Ovis aries: one gene and its partners. The protein of the gene in region 2 interacts with the protein of the main gene of each other region in a biochemical or structural test. Links are inferred from orthologs where the notes say so. Each region holds a gene or a part of one and is shown on either strand. Other genes may lie near its edges.

Region 1 (4,803 bases), on a different chromosome or scaffold from region 2:
AGTCACTGTTTGTATTAAACATTAAACCCAGCATTAAATATGCCTGCACAATTATGCTATGAATAATGATAGCAATGATGTTAGTCAAAGAGGACCATCTTTAGCCCAAGAAGAGTAGGAAGAAAAAACTGAAAACGAGCAGAAAAAGCAGACAAATTGGGCATTTTCTGATGTGTAAAGGACATTTTTAAACACAGAAATACAGAAAGGAAAACATTCCCCTATTTCCCCTATGTGGAAATACGAAACATTTATTTCAGGTATCAGACAAGAACAGAGCTAAGTAATGCAATTTTACTGCAGCATTATAAAAACCATCCCTCCACCACAGCGTAAGATTTAACTGCATGTGCGCAAGGGGACATGTGATATAAAATGTAGTACGATGACTGCTGCCCTGCCAAGTACTTCCAGTCCCTCCCCAGGCCCTACTGCAATACTGGTGGTCCCAAGAGTTCCAGAAGCAAATCATTTAAGATAGTAACAACAAAGCAATTAAAAAGACAAATCAAAATGCCTCAGTAACCATATGTCCAATTCAAACTTTATCTATTTAAATGTTGTATTTGTCTCCCACTAACAAATCTTTATTTCACTCAAACTTGGAACAATAAATCTTCCACACTGATGTATCTTACTTGCCTAATTAATTCAAAGGAAAAAATCAAAATCATTAGTAAAGAAAAATGTAGGGGTTAATACACCTTTTTAAATATTTTTAAGGTTTAAAAATTGCTTAAAGTTTTAAATTTCTAGTAAGAAAACATTATCTGAATGAATACCCTAATGGCAAACCGCTGTAAAATGTTTTCAGCTGCATCTGGGGCAAAGGGGTAGGGATTATCTTCAAAGCACCCCAGCTTTCTTCATGAGAAGGTCAGAGGTACACTGGTTTGTATTATTGCAACATCCATTAGGTGATCTAAGTTGCTTTTCCTCCAGCAGGGCTTTATGTCAGAAGAGCATTATGCTTGACCTCCAAATTTGGCTGACAATTTACTGATGAGATTCATAACCTTTGGGTTGCTCTGATATTTTGACATATTTGCCGGGTTCTGGGCCACATCCTGGAAGGCCACCATAACTTCTGGATCCTGCAAAGAAAGGTATATGTATATATATTTTTAGTATTAAAAAAATATTCTATGGGTCATCAATTTTATTATCCTAAACCCTATCTCTTAGACCTATAGTTCTGATATACGGCAGAAACTGACACAACACTGACAGCAATCATCCTCCAACCTTCCTCATGGCTAAATCAACTCAGATTTGGACAAACCCCTGAAGCATAAATATCATTAATGCGCACTTCAAAGTCAAACTCGACTATGTCACCCAAGACAATTGAAAAAAGAGGTATACAATTTTGATATAAAGATAAGGACAACTGGATATAATTACCAACTATTGCAGAGTATTCCCTATAGACTGCTTTTTAAAAACTTGAACTACTCATTCTGAAAAACAGAAAATGAACGTCACGACTACATAATAAGCTACTGGGTAAATTCAGCTCAGTAAAATATGGCTATCAGAGTAACCTTAGTATGTTCCCACATGGAATTATGAAAAAAAGATGTTTAATGATATAAAGTTCAACTTTGTTCTTCCAAGTCTTACCTGCATGGCTGCAAGGACCTCGGGATCACTAAGAATTTCATTGAGGCCAGGCATTCCCGGCATTCCCCCTCCCATTCCAGGCATTCCTCCAGGAAAATTACCAGGCATTCCCCCAGGAAAGCCGCCTGCAAGAATAAATGAGAGATCTGTATAGACACCAACCATATTCCCAAGTAGTCTGGGAGCGTATTATTTCCTCTGATAAAAACATGTGCATGCACAAAGAACAAGGCTGCTGCTGAACACTAAACAGTCTGAACATTCAAACTGGAGGCTACAAGATGTAATTTTTATCATCAAATTTTCTTTTTAAAAATAAGGCTGTAAATACTTATTCCCTAGTAACAAAACTAGAGAGAAAGCTAATAGTCCTTTGGAATTATAAAATTGAAAAGTCTAATGTTGATATTGGAGAAGGAAATGGCAACCCACTCCAGTATTCGCACGGGAAATCTGATGGACAGAGGAGCCTGGTGGGCTATAGCCCATGAAGTCGCAAAGAGTCAGACACGACTGAGCGGCAGAATACACACCAATGTTGATATATGGCAGAAACTGATACAATATTGTAAAGCAATCATCCTCCAATTAAAAATAAATATTTTTTTAAAAAGAAGAAATACAATTAAAAAGTATAATAAGTCATCTTGTATCTTCTCAGTCTTTAATATTATTCATCTGTTTCAATTTAAAGTCGTGTTTTTCTTCTTAAAAACAATATTCTTCTAAGCAGTTATTCCTTCAAGAACTACCCTAAATACATGTTATAAAAAGTTGTGGATTTTTGGAAGTTCCCTGGTGATCTAGTGGTTAGGATTTGATGTTTTCATTGCCGTGGCCTGGGTTCAATCCCTGGTCAGGGAACTGAGATCCTTTAAGCCACACAATGTGGCCAAAATTAAAGAGGGAAAAAGAAAAAGCTTATGGATTTTTTAATCTTCACCCAAATTACATCAAAATTTCTGAAAGTGAAAAAAAAAGCTGTAACAAAAAACAATCTAATTCTAGTATATTTTTAGATTATAAACTCAAATTTTTCTACTCAATTTTTCATTACCATTAATCTTTACATTCACTGGAGATATTCTAAAGTCACAATTAACACACTATAATAATATAAAGACATCCTAAAGAGAAATACAGGTAACATTAACATATTCCATGGATCAAGTCATTACAAGTAAAGCTACTCTAAAGAAGAAATATACACAACAAAGTGATTTCCATCTGTCTCAACAATTCAAACATGCCCATAAATAACTAACAATCACAGATAAGACCTAATCAGATAAGGAGACCTGAAAACAACTTCTAGTTTCTTACGCTGCTGTGACTTTTTAAAACTAGTCTCCACAAAAATTACTGACCCAAAGCAACAACAGTGAGACAGCCTGCTTGTCAAATCTATGTCATAAAGCCCATCATACAAAAAATTATCTCAAGTGCTAGCCCACAGTAGTGGTCATTTTCTAAAACAAGCAACCTGATATGAGGTATTAACTTATAAACAAAAAGTAAGCCATGAGCTAAAATCTATTTTCTTGCTTTTGCTCCAAGTCATCCCCACCCACTTTTTTAGTTGCCGGCACATGACCTTTCACAACAGCAGCTACCTTTTCTAGCCTCTGATCACGTAAATTCTAAGTAGAGAGGTGGTGTGTACCTGCCTCTATAACTCTTCACAAGAAAGCTAGTTACTTTGAAGCTGCTGATTCCCCATTACAATGACAAACTCAAAAAAAAAAAAAACAAAAAAAAACCTCTTCATCTTTACATAAATGTCACACTGCCTCAATTCAGAAAGTATCCAAAAATATACTGAGTACCTTTTTAACAGCTCTTCTACCTATACTGCAGAGGCCTCTGCCGGTGGCTCAGACAGTAAAGAAGGTAAAGAACCTGCCTGCAATGCAGGAGAACCAGGTTTAATCCCTGGGTGGGGAAGATCCCCTTGAGAAGGAAATGGCTACCCACTCCAGTACTCTAGCCTGGAAAATTCTATGAACAGAAGGAGCCTGGCGGGCTTTAGTCCATGGAATCGCAAGGAGTTGGACACCACTGAGTGACTAACACTTTCACTGCCAGTATTCAATGCTTATAGGAAAATAATATACTGTATTTCCAATAACAAAATTTTACCAAGAATGAAACTTTCCCAGGGACTAATGGTACTAAATACAATATACACACCTGAGCCCGAAAATGAGAATAATCCCCAATTATCTACAATATTAGGAATTTTAATTTTTCTTTCAAAATACCTGGAAAAGAGCCATACTGAGATCCTGATTGTCTTCTGGCTTCTTCCTCCTTTAATACAAAAAGGAAATAAATTACATAGTAAGAAGTCTGCTGTTCATGCCTACCTTATCCATACAAACCATGAAAAAACCGTAAAATAAACTAGCTAGAGGAGGTACAAGAATGACAAGTTTCAAAAGGCAATACTGGGCTAAAGACAACATCCCATCCCTCAAAAAACCAACTTTCAATTGGATTCTCAATGAGGAAGTATTACTTTTGGTGGGCTTCCCAGGTGGAAGCTAGTGGTAAAGAACCCGCCTGCCAATGCAGTAGACATAAGAGCAGGTTCAAACTCTGAGTCGGGAAGATGCCCTGGAGGAGGGCATGGCAACCCACTCCAGTATTCTTGCCTGGAGAATCCCATGGACAGAGGAGCCTGGCAGGCTACAGTAGTCCACAGCGTCTCAGAGAGTTGGACATAACTGAAGCAACTCAGCATAACTTTTGCTAATGATTTTAAGTAGTATTTTGGACTTGGAACTAAAACTAAAAAATAACGAGTCAATTTTAAATAGCTATGAATTCACTACTAAAACAGAAGGAATCATAAAACTTAAAATCAGGGCATGCATTCTAAACAAAGCAAATAATACTGGCAAGTTTTAAATTAATTACCTGGCCAGGAAGAAGTCTTGATTTTAGGAGAACACAAGCAAGGATAAATTGGTGCTATAAAAACTCACTTAAGAACTTGAAGACTAAGCAATGAAGGGAAGGAAAACCTCCTTTTAAGTAGTATCACTATCCCATAGAACTGCAGCCAGCTCTTTTTATTTTAAAAAAGCCAAGAATTAGAATGATATCCAAAAAAGTCTAATCTACTATATTTCTCTTTAATGGTTTAGGTACAGAAATCTTACCCTCTGGGCTCTCTCA
Region 2 (4,070 bases):
TTCTCACCCCCAGGGGTGGGCACCTGTGGTCTCCGTGGTCCATCTCCAGCACAGGGCTTGCTGGGGGGCAGTTCCAATTACACGCCTGCCATTAACACGCCTTTCCATAATTCAGGGGGGAAATGCTCTGTGGGCATTTTTTTTCCACTGGAGACACTTTATAGAGGACTAATACTTTTAATTTGAATGGAATTCTTAGTCTCCTTACTAGAGGTGGGAAATAAGAGAACTTGTTTTTTGTCCTTCAATTATTAATTCCTGAACAGCAGGACCACTGGCACCAGACTAGCTGAGCCACAAGGGAAGCCCAAGAATACTGGAGTGGGTAGCCTGTCCCTTCTCCAGCAGATCTTCCTGACCCAGGAATTGAATCAGGATCTCCCATGTTGCAGATTCTTTACTATCAGGGAAGCCCTCCGGGGAGTTAAAAACTGCTGCTGCATTAGATTGGTAAGGATCAAAGAAGGTTATTGCTTACCCACCCAGGCACTTACTACCCACCAGCACTTACTATCCATGACAGACCTTCCAGTCTGTGGACTCTCCAGGCCTCTCTGACTCTAGGTCCAAATCCTGGGTAGACCTCCCACCAAGTACTCTAATGCTCACCCCTGCCCTCTCCAACTGCTGTGTGCTTATGTCTGTCAGCAGCCTCCTGGACACACCTTTCCTGAGGCTCAATAAAGAACCAGAGAACAAGCAGCAGAGACGGTTTCAGGTGGGAAGGTGTTCAGCAGCTGTGGTTCATAAGGGCAAGGCAGTAAAAGGGCGGTTATTACACATCCCGTTTCACCAATACCATCAGAGTGCAGCTCAGACATTGAAATTCTAAAGCACAATGATGTTATTATAAAGTCTAACACATGGACACAAAAGCAGCAAGTTCCATTCTCCTGTCTTTTAAGTATAGAGGCTCACCCCCAAACATGTGGCCTGAGCACCCTAAGGTCACAGCAGTAGGCTCTAGGGAGGCCACACCAACCACCTGCTCCCTTGACTCTCCTCTAGGGAAGAGGCGCACCCCTCATGTTTTACATTCTGGGACCACCCCCACAAGTAAGACATCACACATCATTTCTTTTAATTCATCTGTATTTGTTACAACTTTTTGAAGCAGAATGTGACTTGAGCACTACATTTCCATTCACAAAACTGGCTCCAAGTTACCTTTCCAGAGGCTTTACAACATGCCTGGGCAGGCTTATAATTTTGCTACTCTAAACAATATTTTTCTTTGGAAAACAAGCCCTATGTATGGACAGTGACTCCAATCAAGTTGGTTCAGCTTAACATACTAACTTCTAGAGGCCTGGCACATGCAGTCATAACTACAGGGGATGGAAGTTTTAAAAAGTATATCCCAGAAGATGAAAACTTGCTGTAATAAGTGTTTCTTTTAAACACCAAGGTATATACTTCAGAACACTTCAGTGACAGAAAATTTTGGTCTACTAAAGAATCCGCTTGATAGCTAAACACTTCAGACCACAAAGTTAACAGAGGTTACACACACCTTACAACAAAGGTTAACTACTTCCATCTGTTAAAATAAGCCAACATGAAACTAGGAAAAAACGAGCTCTGCTTTAGTGCTAAAAGTATCACAGTATCACACTTAGTATAAAGAAATCTTATCCTCCCCTTATGCAGTTGTCATGCCATACAGATTTTAAATGTTAACAAAAATAAAGAAATACTCGAGAACATATTGGAGGGAACGGAGACAGCGCGTTGAACACACCGCCAGGCGAGCCTCGGCAGCGCTCAGTCTACTTCCTCCATGCGGGACGTGTCGTCGTCTCCTTCCAGGGGCGGCATTTCCTCAGTGACTGCAGCGCTGCTGTCGTCAGCAGTGGGGTCATCCTCGTCAATACCTTGAAGGAAATAAAAAACACGGATTAAGTTTCTTCAAGCCGCATAATTAGTCCAACACTACAGGTTCCTCATACCCGCTTCTCAAGGCTGAGCGAATTAGAAGCGACATGACGAAAGGGGCTTATTTACCCCCTTTTAACTCATGTGACTTCAGTGTTTTGCAAATGGAAAAACAAGAGTGCCCAACTTTGTTGAAATTGCTGAAAGTTCACCCTTTTCAACAGTCATCTGTTTAGGTTTTCCCCCAATGGTATTACACATGGTACTTGCACAAGGCTTACCAAGACCAAGTTTGATCATCCTGTAGATCCTGTTGGCGTGTGTCTGGGGATCCTCCAGACTGAAGCCAGAAGACAGGAGCGCTGTTTCGTACAGCAGGATGACCAGATCCTTCACAGACTTGTCATTCTTGTCAGCCTCTGCCTTTTGCCTCAAGGTCTCGATGATGGAATGGTCAGGGTTGATCTCCAGGTGCTTCTTGGCTGCCATGTAACCCATCGTCGAGTTGTCTCTCAGGGCTTGCGCCTTCATGATCCGCTCCATGTTTGCTGTCCAGCCGTATGTGCTTGTGACAATGCAGCACGGGGAGGTCACCAGCCGGTTGGACACGACCACCTTTCATAAAAAAAAGGTATACAGCGATAACTGGGCACAGAGGTGTTCCATTCTCAGTGCTTGTCACCAGGTTTATTTGAATATTTAAGGAACTTGAGTATTAATGAATCAAATACTATTTGCAAATACTATTGCAAATCCGAAGCTTTAAGTTCCTTTTAAGTTCTAATGTCTTTAAAGATGTTAAGGACTATGTATATGTGACTTGTTCAAAAGACACCTAACACCCCTAAGAAGGGTTAGTAACCAGAAAATATAAGAAAAAAGATGGTATTCACACACCTTTTCAACTTTCTTCTCCAAAATGTCCTTCATGATTTTGCAGAGGTTTTCAAACTTTGTCTTTTTCTCTTCTTGTTTCTTTTTCTCTTCCTCATCTTCTGGAAGTTCCAGGCCCTCTTTGGTGACTGACACTAAGGTCTTCCCCTCAAACTCCTTCAGCTGTTGCACACAGTACTCATCAATAGGCTCAATCATGTAGATCACTTCCAAACCATGCTTCCGGAGACGCTCCACAAAGGCCGAGTTGGCTACCTGGTCCTTTGTCTCACCTAAGAAACAGAAGTTTTATATCTTTTAACAGCAGTCTCATTTATTTCGGTTAGATTAACTCCTACTAAATTATGTGTACCACCACACGGGTAGAAAACGTGCAACTGTTCCTATGGGATCACAAAAAGATCGACTGTCACAGTTATTGCCTGTAAGGTACCTGTGATGTAATAGATGTGTTTCTGGTTTTCCTTCATTCTTGTGCAATAGTCCTTGAGAGAAACCATCTCATCACCAGAAGCAGACGTATAGTACCTCAACAGCTCTGAAAGCTTCTTCCGATTTTGGGAATCTTCATGTATTCCAAGCTGAAAAGACAATGTTAGCTTTAGAAAGACTTTCTCTGTGTTCAATTATTTCAAAAGGAAAATCAGTTTGATTACTACTCTTAATAGTCAAATGTGTTTCTAACCAACCTTAATATTTTTAGAGAACTGCTCATAAAACTTCTTGTAGTTCTCCTTATCTTCTGCCAGTTCAGTGAAGAGTTCCAAGCACTTTTTGACCAAATTCTTCCTGATAACTTTCAAAATTTTGCTCTGTTGCAACATCTCACGGGAAATGTTCAGAGGAAGATCCTCAGAATCCACCACACCTCTAATGAAATCTGAAACAGACCAAATGCAGCCAGTCACTCCAAAGACAAAAACTGACAAATCCGTAAACCCAAAAAACCAAAGATGAATGATTTTCCCCATGTTTAGTTTAAAAACCAGGAGCTGACAGGATTAATCTCTTAGACTAGTAACAGTGACAGTTTCTTCTATCAGACTATACTTACTCAGGTATTCAGGGATTAGCTCCTCACAGTTATCCATGATGAAAACTCTGCGAACATACAGCTTAATGTTGTTCTTCTTCTTTCTGTTTTCAAACAGGTCAAAAGGAGCTCGTCTTGGGACAAAAAGAAGGGCTCTGAATTCCAACTGTCCTTCAACTGAAAAATGCTATAACAAAACAATCAAGATTAACACAGGGCAAATAACTTGAAGCAATAAAAAATGTCACGTATACCAGAGTTACCTAAC
Region 3 (4,803 bases), on a different chromosome or scaffold from region 2:
TATACACATGCATATACATAGAAAGATAAAGCGGAAGTGTCAACACCTTAATAACTGGCGACTAAGTGAAGGGGCTATGGATGGTAACTGTGCTGGTCTTTGGACTTTTCTGTAGGTTTAACAATTTGCTAAGTGAAAAGTTGGGAAAACAGTGCTAACAAAGAAAAGCAGGAGGTATCCACTTCCGGTCAGAATGTAGAAAGTTACAAAAGACTGTCACTCTTGCCTTAATGAGGGAAACAAGCCAGGAAACAAGAAGAAAAAAGAAAAAACAAAGAACACCCTGAAACATCTGAGAGTGAGGACTCAAAGAAACCTAAATGAGCCAAACTACAAGACAGTGAGGTGACCAGCTCTCCCCTGGGAGAGCGGCGGCGGCTGGTGGGCCGGCGGCGCAGCGAGGGCCAGGCTGAGAGGGGAGCGGGAGAGAGAGCCTGGGGGCCCCGCGGCAGAGGCCTCTGCCCAAGCCTGCATCTTCTCTCCCGGGGCCGCACAGAGGGCGCGAGGCGACATGGCGGACAGGAGCCACCTGAGGCACAAAAGTGGGGGCGAGACTGGGAGCAGAGAGCCCCTCAGACAGCCCAGCAGCCGGCGGCAGGGCTGAACATCAGAGCGCTTTCCTACAGCTCCGGGAGCGGGAGACCTGAGAGCCTGCAGGCATCCCTGGGATTCTGCCAGGGCGGAGATGCTGAGCCCCGCCCTCGGGGAGTCCCGGCTCCCCTCTGGACGTATCTGAAGCCAGCTCCAACTCGAGCTGCCCCTGACCTGCAGCGGGGACGGACACAGCCCCTCACTGTGGCAGCCCAACAGAAGCAGGGTCTGCCCGTGTCTGCAGGAGAGGAATCTGTCTCCATCGCTACTGTACTTCTACACAAAGTGTCTGGCCCACGAGAAAAAAGCGCCAAGACGGGAAGAGCAGACAAACGGAAGCAGACCCAGAGATGACCCAGATGGTGGGAGATCTAGACAGAGACTTTAAAATAACTGTGTGGAAAACGTGTTGAAGGATCTCACAGAAAAGGTAAATGACATGCATGAACATATGGGGCCGAGAGACGAAAGCTATTAAAAAAGTAACTGATGGAAATGCTGGAGATGAAGAATTCATCTGCAGGGTGCCCAGCACACTGTGGGCTCGGCAAGCGCCAGCTGGCGGGACCGCCCTGCTCCTGGGCCCCCGCGGTGGCAGGGCTCAGGCCAGGCCAGCGCCCTGATGCTACCCCGGGCCCCGGGCTCTGGCGGGCACTACCTGGTAGGCACACTTCCGGTGCAGCTTCTTCTGGTCCTTGTACCACTGCATGAGCTCCTGCATGAAGGTGACTGTCACCCTGCCGTCCTCCAGCTTGGGCCCACTGTACTCATCCTCGATGGCTGGCGTGTGAAGGGGGGAGGAGAGTCAGGGGCCGCGGCCACTGCCAGGATGGGAAGTGAGGCCTGGCCCCCAGGCACGGGGCAGGCTCGGCGCTAGACACACAGGTTGAGAGGGGACGGGGTGAAGACTCCGCTCGGCCAGGGCCTCTCATGGCCGGCCCCTTCTGCCCAGGCGGGCTCACAGGCCCTCTCCCTGACCTCCCGCCTACGGGGCGCCCCCTCTCTGGCAGCCTCTCCCCCGGACTCGATCTGCTAGCATTTAACATGTGAACTGACTATCAGTCCTCTCTCCGCAATAGGACACCCGCTCCAGGGGGCAGGGGCTGTGCGGGTCACAGCTGTATCCCCAGTGCCCACAATGGCGGCACCCAGTAGGGACCCAATAGTCATCCGTGGAATGTTTGACAGACGCCTCTGAGCGCCCAGAGGACCTGGGGACAAATCAGGCCCATGACGGGGGGTGCAACTGCGGGATGGATGAAGCAAGGAAGCTTGCCCGCACCCGAGACCTCTAGCCCCTAGGCTGGACGGCGGGGTCTCCAGGAGCACAGACAGCGTGGGGGCACAGGGACCAGAGGCGCCCAGCACGCAGGGCCCGGGCGAGGACGGGGAAGGCTCTGGGCCGGGCGCAGCAGGGCACCTGGGCCGACTCACTCATGCTCTCAATGTCGAGCGAGTCCACGACGGAGCGCTTGTGCTCGTCGCCCGCGATGGCCCGCTCGAACGCCTTTTGCTTCACGATCTTGTTGCACTCCTGGTACTTCATCTTGGCATCCTTGTCATGGGGCTTCACCTTCACCACCTGGTATGCAAGGTGGGCAAGAGAGGACAGAAGGAAGAGAAGAGGCATCAGCACCCAGGCGAGGCGCAGGGCAGAGGGGTCACTGGGAGGCGGGGGCACCATGACTGCCCTTGGCTGGCCTGGCCCGGCCCGGGGCTCCGCGGACACTGAGCAGAGCACCCAGCCGCGTGGACGATGGGTGCAAGCCTGGACTCGCTCCCCGTCTAGGTCTTGGTTTCTGTGTCCCCAAACTGGGCCCAACAGCTGCCCACACAGGGCTGCCGGGAGGGAAAACGTATTCACCCATTCAGATGCTCCTTAATACACTGCAGCTCTGACCGTCATCAAAATAAAACTGGCCCTGCTCCAGCTTCATCGCTGGAACCAGAGGGGCTGAGCGGTCCCCGTGGGCTGGATCCGAAGTCATGATTTACAGCCCGACTCAACCAAAGAGGCAATGACTGGCTGGATGACACAGAGTTGCAGTTGTCTCATCTACGAGTGGGGGAGGTGACAGGCTGTTGGGGAGGATCAAGAACCAGCACGGGCCTGGCGTGCAGCCCGAGCTCTGCGGGCAGCCGCCGGCACCTGGTGGTCAGGCGCCCGGGGTCAACCTCGGGCCCTGGGGAGACCCAGGACCAGTGTGCTCCCTTGGCTCCCTCCTGAGGAAGGTGGAGGCGACAGAGCACGAGCCCCAGGCTGCCAGGAGGGCGGAGCGAGCAAACACTCGGAAGGGCGTGCAGCAGCGGCAGGCCGCCCACGGCGCCTTTCACGGGCGGCCGCGCCCATGGCGCGGGATCGCACGCGGGGAGCACTGGGCGCTTGGCCGCGAGGTTCCCCCAGGCCCAGGAAGAGGAGCCCGTCCCCTGCCCTCCCCCACCTTCCGTCTCGCTTCCTACAGACCCTGATCCCCCAAGTCCAGAGGGAGTGGGGGCTGCATTCAGACCCCAGCTCTGCCACTTACGTGCTGGGTGACCTTGGGCAAATGAATTCACCCCTCTGAGCCTCAGTTACCTGTAACTCCTCCTGTAATTATCAGTGGACCCTGCCTGACCTGCCCCCCATGCTGGCCTCCCCAGGAGTGGGCTCCCACAGCCCTGTGCCAGGGCACAGAAAACGGGGGTGCCAGGCAGCGAATGCACCCTGGTGGAAAGCCTGGCTGAGTGCGTCAGAAGCTGGGGCAAAGGTGTTTGCTGATGAGCCCTGAAGGTCAGTGTGGCTCAGCCCCGAGAATGGGCGTGCAGACCAGGTTGAGTGGCAGGAAGCGGGTCGGGGCAGGCTTGGGCCCAGGCGCCCTGCCAGGTGCCTCCACCTGCAGCAGGGTGTGGTGCAAGGCTTGGGAGAGAGGCCGCCCCAGACAGTCCCTGGAGTCCTTCCCAACAAGCAGAGGTTAGGAGTCCACGGCCCAGGATGAAGTCCAAACCGCCACTCCGCCTGGCCCACGAGGGCCTGCCCAGCCCTTTGCGTTCCCTGCTTGCCCAGCGCGAACCAGCCAGGCCAAAGCCAGAAGTCCCCAAACGTGCCGGCCCCCTCTCAGCTGCAGGCTGGTACACCCCTGGCCCAGAACACCTCATGTCCACCCTCAGTGACTCTCCAGCCCTGCCTCCTCCTCCTCCAGGTCTCCGCCCCCCGCCCCTGCCCTCTCCCATCTCCCAGGCTGGGTCAGGCACCTGCTCTGGCCTCCCACAGGGCCCTGGGCTACCCCCCACCGCCCCGCCCCAGCCCTGAGCACCGCAGGAGACGGGTCTACCTCCCCAGCGGTAGGTGGCCATGGCCACGAGGGCAGGGCTGAGGCTGTGTCCCAGGTGAAAGGAGTGCCCGAGTGGGCGGATGCCCCACTAACCATTTCCTCTGAGCCAGCACCCTCTTTTCAGAGAGCTCACGGGTGGGGGTGTGGGCCGGAAGCAAACACTGATGACCCCGGGAACAAAGGAACGGAGCAGTAACAGCGCACAGCTTTCTCTGTGCCCGAGGCTGTAAGCGACAACCTCGCTCACTTTCTCCTCAGAGCAGCTCTCTGTGATGTCATCACAGCTGCACCTCACGGATGGACAGGGAAACTGAGGCTGGGAGAGGTGAACTCACTGACCCAGGAAGCCAGGATTCCATTCTCTCCCTGCTGAAGATCCTGCTCCCACTGCACACGCTGGGACGGGACCCCTCCCCACCTACTGCCACGGTCCCCACAGCACCTGACACGCCTTCCAGAGACACGCTGCAGGCCTGGGTCTTAAGAGCAGGCTCTGGGGCCAGGCCTCCAGGCCTTGCAGTGGGGGGAGGCCCCGAGGCTTGTTGGCTCAGAACTGAATGCTGGACTTCTCTTTAAGAAGAGGGATCTCACAGCAAGTGGGGTCTGGGTTGTGTCCGGTCAGCATCCTGTGACAGTGACGCCAGGCATGTCACTGGGGGAAAGTGGGGCGGTGGGGTCTTTGCCTTACTCCTTATCCCTGCATGTGAAACCACAACGCTCTCAGAATAAACAGCTGTTTTTACAAAGTGGTTTCAGCTGCGAGTATTCCCGGGCAGTAAGTCCAGGGACTCAGACCGATGAAATGGTAACATGGGCTTGTGACCCCCACATAATGCCACGGGGCCAGTGTGTATCTGGGAAACGGGAACTCTCTGGAGTTCAAGAAGGTGACGCAGAGCAC
Region 4 (5,532 bases), on a different chromosome or scaffold from region 2:
GAAAAGAATGAAAGGAAAACAGATTGAAAAAGAAACAAACCTATCTGTGCACTTTCGACATTGAGTATGTGTAGGTTTTACAATCCGAAGAATATAATGTAAATAAAATGGAAAATAATTCTACAAACAGAAAAAAAATGGGGGGAATCCTAGAACCCAGTGACTACTGTCCCTCCTCACCTCTTCCATCTCCCAGACCCCTCAACCATTCATTGATTGAAAGAGCACAGCACTTCCTCCCTGGAAACCTTTCCCTTTGGCCCTTCCCCTTCCACGAGGTTTTCCCCTCTCTTACAGACCTCTGTATCCTATCCTGGTCTCAGCAGAGCACTCATCCCATCAGAATCATGAGCATGATTTACTCACCTGTGCGAAGGTGGCCACTGGGCTAGATACCCAGCATACATTCCTGCTTTGTAACCATCACAACTACCCTCGTTGACAGGTGTTCTTGTCCCTGTTAATCTGCCTCAAATCGGTTAGTATGTTGGGGACCCCACTCGTTGCTTACTCTCTAGAAAGAGCACGTGCTCTTTCTACAGTCAGTATGCGTGCAAAAGCGGTCATATCTTGGGTGCTCAAGTAAAACGTGCTGACAGACTAGAAGATACCTACAACTGTTTGCTGCCAGTAAAGAAATAGATGCTTTTAGAAAAGCATTACTCGACCGGAGCTTTTCTATACCAACTTGTTCAGCCAGATAATATCCAGTGGCCCCAGCTTCAAAAGAAACCAGTACACTCAAGAGTGACCGCACACAGGCGCAGGAACCAACAGCAAGATAACTGCCAAGGCGGCAAGCCAGCACCCTACCCTGCGCCCGTCTCCTGCAACTTTGGAGGGCCACCGTTACTTCTCACCCTCCTGAGGACACTGGTAGAAAGGAAGCAGATTTAATCTCTAGTGAGTCAATCCCCCCAAGTCCGCTGAAGGCGTCACTGAATGAAAAACGTCTTAGTCGAGGCTAAATACACTTGCTGTAAATTGCTGGAAGAAACGATTTTATTTGTCCTGCATCCCTTCCCAGCCAATCCCAACAGAAAAGATTACAATGAATTCCCTGGTTATGTTTTAATATTGAAATTTCATCCGAAAACAGCCCTTTTAGTTTTCTACCTATATAGGACAGTCTTCATAGTACAGTGCCAAGCACTGAGCAAGGGCTCCAAAACAAACAAAAAACCTTATTATTATTGGCACACAAATTCCTGCAACCAATAATTATTTCATAACACGCACCAGACACTAAACTGGGCTTAAGCTCTAAGGAAGAGCAGGACCCTCCATACACAGATCTTTTGGTCAAAAGACTATTGTTTCGGTAACTATGGCGCTTCCTAGTCGCCAAGGGAAGTCCATGAACACCCAGGAACCCAGTATTAAGAAAATATTCCTTTTCATGGGCCTTCAGTAAGACGCAGTGGCTCTCCTAGCGAGTTGAACCCATTCTATGTGTTCAGTTATATTATTGTCGGGAAAGGCCCCTTTAATACGCGGGCCATTTCTTGCAAACGGGCAGTTCGCAGCGTTTCGCCGGGCCCTGGGCGCACGCTGGCCCCTCTCCGGGGAAACCCAGACGCCTCCCCGGCCCTACATGCCCAGGTACCGCTCCCCTCGCTCTGCGTTCAGGACGCGTGCCCGGCCAGGCGGGGAGGCAGGCAGCCCGCGGCTCGGGCAGGGGAGACGCACGCGCGGCGCCCACGTCCGGCGGCGCGGCGTCGGATGCTGCGGGGGTATCGAGAAGGATCTGGAAGAATCCGGCTAGACCGGGGGGGGGGGGGGCGGCGGGAGGGAGAGGCCGAGAGAACGAGCGGCGGGGGCGGGGGCTGGCTCCCGAGTCCGAGGGTCTCGGGGCCGGGGCGGGGCTAGGCGGCTGGCGGGAGGAACGAACCAGAAACCACCTTCCGCAGAAGCGCCCTGAGCGCCAGAGCCTGAACCCGCTCGGCCGCCGGCGCCTCTAGAAAGTTCTCCCCCCACGTCCCTCGCGGCCGCCCGGCTCCTCCCAGCCCCTCCCTCCGAGGCGGTGGGACCAATCGCTCACCCGGCCGCCCACGACCCCACCTCCTCCTCCGCCCGCGCCCGCGCAGAGAGGTGCGCGAGCCCCGACCCGCCGCCCGCACCGCCGCGCACACCCCGCCGCCCGCTGCCCGAGAAACGGCGTGATGACCGCCGAGGAGACGAAGACGGCCGAGAGCGGAGCGCAGTCGGCGCCGCTGCCCCTCGAAGGCGTGGACATCAGCCCCAAGCAGGATGAAGGGGTGCTTAAGGTAAGAGGCGGGGGGCGCCCCGGGGAGGCGGAGGCGGCGGTAGTCGGGCACCGGGAGCGCCCCAGCATCTGCCCGGGGCTCGGGCAGCCGCCTCTGCAGCCTCCCGGCCGGCCGTTAAGCAGGCCGTGCAGCCGTGGCCCTGCGCATCGCCTTCCTAGCCAGGCCGCCGGTTCAGGGCGGGAGGGCTGCTACACGCTCGGAAGGGGAACATCTGGGCTGAGGCTCCCCAGGCCTGGGAAGGGTCCCGGAGCGCAGCGCCTGCTCTGGCTGCGGCATGCGCCGGGAGGGGCGCGGCGGGGGGCGGACGCGCTCGCGCGGGGGCCCCGGCGGCGTGCACCGCCCCACTGCGATCTGCGACCCGCGGCCGGCTCCTTCCCGGCCGCCGCTGGCGCCAGGGAGTTCCCCCCGCCACCCCGGCCTCCTGCGCCTCCGGGGTGCGGAGCTCGCCGACCCCGGCAGTTAAACATTAGCCAGGACGCGAACGGGGTCCCGGGAGTTATTGCCTGGCCCGCGCGGGTCTTTGTGCGACTTGGCGCGCGGTCCTGGCGTCCTCCGCCCTCTGGTCACCCCTTTCCTGAAGGCTGGGACCCGGCTAGGTCACCCGCTCGGCCATGCTGTCCCCCTCCCCCCCCACCCCGGTGCATGCCGGGACCTGTAGTTCACCCCGCCTCGGCCCCCACATCGCACCCCACCCCACTCCACCCCCGGCCCGGGGCCTTACTGAGCGCGGAGTGCGGGACTGGGAGGAGGTGCTTTGGTTGGGGGCCCTAAACAGTGTTACGGCCGGAGGAGCCAGGGAGGGGTCTGGGAGCCAGGCAGCAGGGCGTCTTGACCCAGGTCCGGCCGCGGTTCGGAGCAGGTTCTGCGCTGTCCAGGATGGCGAAATCCTAGCCTGGCTTCGCTGGTATCCTCACCCAGACTTTCTGCTCCTCTTGGCTTCCCGCAGCTCAGCCCACGTGTGCGTGTGGCCAGGGCAGGTTGGAGACCCCGGGGAGCTGCTTAGCCGTTTCAGAAACGCACCTGGCTGCTCTCCTAGTGGGCACGCGGGCTTCCAGGGAGACCTATTTACCCTTTTCATTCTCCACGCCTTCCCTTTCACTTTTCTGTTTACTCAAGTCCATGTCCGTTGCATCGTGGGAGCTTTCCCTTAGAGGGTAACTTGCACACTTAACCAGGTAGACCACCTTTTTATAAACACCAAAGAGAAGCAGGTTCTTCTAAACACTGGGACATATTCTAGCCCTGACTTCAAGGACTGCAGTAGCCTACCAGTCAGGAACCCTCAAGTCCCAGGTCAGAGCCTAGGGCCTGCTCAAGGACCCTTGGCTCACTTGTAAGCTGGTGGTTGCTCTTAGCTCTCCTGGACTTTCTGGTTTCCCTCTTCTCTCTCTAAACCAGACCTGATTGGATGACTGGCGTTTAGGAAGCATGAGGAAGTGTAGCGTAAATACTTTCCCCTTTGCTGCTGATAATTATTCAGTGTTTTACTGGTTTAGTCCTGTAACCACTCTGATAGGGTTTATCATCACTACTTTACAAATATGGTCAGTTTAGAGAGTTAAAGTGACTTCTGTAAGATCGTAACAGCAAAAATGATCTCAGGTGTTTTGTCTCCAGTGTTTCAAACCAAGTTATGTCATGGTCCAAGAAAGGGAGGTCAGTTTAATTCTAGCCAAACCCCATAGCAGTCATTTGATGATGGGTTTGTTGAGTTACTTACAAGGAGGCAGAGGAGACCATTTACATTCTGGCCAGAGGCATGCGAACATTCATGGTTCCTCTCTGTGTCCATCCCCAGGGACTCACCTTCTCTCCTTCCCTTCCTTCCAGGTCATCAAGCGAGAGGGCACGGGCACGGAGACACCCATGATCGGGGACCGTGTCTTTGTCCACTACACAGGCTGGCTGCTCGATGGCACCAAGTTCGACTCCAGCCTGGACCGCAAGGACAGGTTCTCCTTCGACCTGGGGAAAGGTGGGCATGGTTAGCAGGCTCTCAGGACCAGGGTGTGTGTGCTGTCACAAACAGAAACCGTATTCTCAGAAGCTTAAACACGGAACAGTTTATTACAGTTCTTTTTTTATTTCCACTGTCCTGAAACTCTATTGATTTTTTAATCTGTCATTGCCTTGATCACCTCTGAAAACCTTGCTTCCTTTTCCAGGGTGGACTGCCTTGTTTTCTTGAACCTCTTTGCTTCAGAGTTGAATGATTTTTCTTTTTTCTTCTTTTTTTTGAGAGGTCTGAGACCTGATACCATTTATCGCAACCAGATTTTCTACCTTCTTGGTCCTATTTCTAAATAGTACCCAGCTTCCCTTTGGGCATGGGACAGTAAGTCTCTCAGGCCACTGTTTGAACCCAGAGGGAGATCCCTGCCAAAGAGGACCTGTTTCTTCTCTGTACCTACAGGGGAGGTCATCAAGGCTTGGGATATCGCCGTGGCGACCATGAGGGTGGGTGAAGTGTGCCACATCACCTGCAAGCCGGAGTACGCCTACGGCTTGGCGGGCAGCCCCCCGAAGATCCCTCCCAACGCCACGCTTGTGTTTGAGGTGAGTGTCCGGCCACAGAGGGCCAGGCAGAGAGCCAGCCTTATCTCAGCCCAGGGTCTGGCTGCCCTCCAGCCCTTCCTGCTGCCTGGAGACAATGTAGCCAAGGCTGAGGGCCTGCCCTGGGGAGGGAAGACATGGAGTGCGCCTCTCCTACTGCTTCTACCAGAGAACTGTCAGTGGGCAGGTTTTAGTTGGGGAGAGGTGGCTGCGAGCCCCTCTTTCAGACTTGAAGCAGCGGGGTGAGGGCTTTGAGGCCTGTTCACCTCAAGAGGGATACTCAGAGGGAGGTGGACCAAAACGAAGGAATTGGGAGGTCACAGGCTACATGCAGTCATGACTGACAGTGCAGAACATTGGTGCCCTAGAAATAAGATGCGGGCAGAGATGCTTCTCGCGTGGGTCGAGGTAAGGGGCAAGCCTTTGCTGAGAAGGTGAAACTTCACTGTGTTAAGACTCAAAAATGGTTGAGCCCTACGCACTGGAGGCTCGGAGAATGTTGGGAAGACTGGTGAGAGGTGTTGGGTTATTTCTAATGCCTGTCGGATGGAGCTTGTCTGGCAGCTGAATTAGGACCTTTTGGAACATGTGCCTGTTCTATAGAGCAGTCATTGAGGAGACTGATACCAAGGTCAAGACCAGGGCCGCTCCTGAGAACTTAGCCACTTGGTCCATTCCTGGTGTGGCTGCCTGTGCCGTCAGACCTGCTCTG

Evidence for each region.
Region 1: the proteins of HSP90AA1 (region 2) and ST13 form a complex in vitro, tested with the Homo sapiens proteins (2 studies listed by BioGRID). The link is inferred for Ovis aries from reciprocal best matches to the Homo sapiens genes HSP90AA1 and ST13.
Region 3: the proteins of HSP90AA1 (region 2) and PPP5C form a complex in vitro, tested with the Homo sapiens proteins (4 studies listed by BioGRID, with this or other methods). The link is inferred for Ovis aries from reciprocal best matches to the Homo sapiens genes HSP90AA1 and PPP5C.
Region 4: the proteins of HSP90AA1 (region 2) and FKBP4 form a complex in vitro, tested with the Homo sapiens proteins (4 studies listed by BioGRID and IntAct). The link is inferred for Ovis aries from reciprocal best matches to the Homo sapiens genes HSP90AA1 and FKBP4.

Annotation. Positions count from the first base shown.
Region 1 is NC_056056.1:217,909,230-217,914,032, forward strand, and holds part of ST13 (hsc70-interacting protein), read right to left. Parts: coding exon 4,788-4,803; intron 3,934-4,787; coding exon 3,885-3,933; intron 1,749-3,884; coding exon 1,624-1,748; intron 1,095-1,623; coding exon 966-1,094; 3' UTR 1-965. UniProt on the Homo sapiens protein: One HIP oligomer binds the ATPase domains of at least two HSC70 molecules dependent on activation of the HSC70 ATPase by HSP40. Stabilizes the ADP state of HSC70 that has a high affinity for substrate protein.
Region 2 is NC_056071.1:64,570,465-64,574,534, forward strand, and holds the end of HSP90AA1 (heat shock protein HSP 90-alpha), read right to left. Parts: intron 3,990-4,070; coding exon 3,824-3,989; intron 3,650-3,823; coding exon 3,459-3,649; intron 3,351-3,458; coding exon 3,203-3,350; intron 3,042-3,202; coding exon 2,773-3,041; intron 2,491-2,772; coding exon 2,026-2,490; 3' UTR 1,875-2,025; coding exon of another isoform or gene 1,765-1,874; 3' UTR 1,075-1,764; downstream 1-1,074. UniProt on the Homo sapiens protein: Molecular chaperone that promotes the maturation, structural maintenance and proper regulation of specific target proteins involved for instance in cell cycle control and signal transduction.
Region 3 is NC_056067.1:53,385,095-53,389,897, reverse strand, and holds part of PPP5C (serine/threonine-protein phosphatase 5), read right to left. Parts: intron 4,512-4,803; exon of another isoform or gene 2,174-4,511; coding exon 2,026-2,173; exon of another isoform or gene 1,372-2,025; coding exon 1,250-1,371; exon of another isoform or gene 1-1,249. UniProt on the Homo sapiens protein: Serine/threonine-protein phosphatase that dephosphorylates a myriad of proteins involved in different signaling pathways including the kinases CSNK1E, ASK1/MAP3K5, PRKDC and RAF1, the nuclear receptors NR3C1, PPARG, ESR1 and ESR2, SMAD proteins and TAU/MAPT.
Region 4 is NC_056056.1:212,788,209-212,793,740, reverse strand, and holds the start of FKBP4 (peptidyl-prolyl cis-trans isomerase FKBP4), read left to right. Parts: upstream 1-2,085; 5' UTR 2,086-2,162; coding exon 2,163-2,267; intron 2,268-4,097; coding exon 4,098-4,242; intron 4,243-4,680; coding exon 4,681-4,823; intron 4,824-5,532. UniProt on the Homo sapiens protein: Immunophilin protein with PPIase and co-chaperone activities. Component of steroid receptors heterocomplexes through interaction with heat-shock protein 90 (HSP90).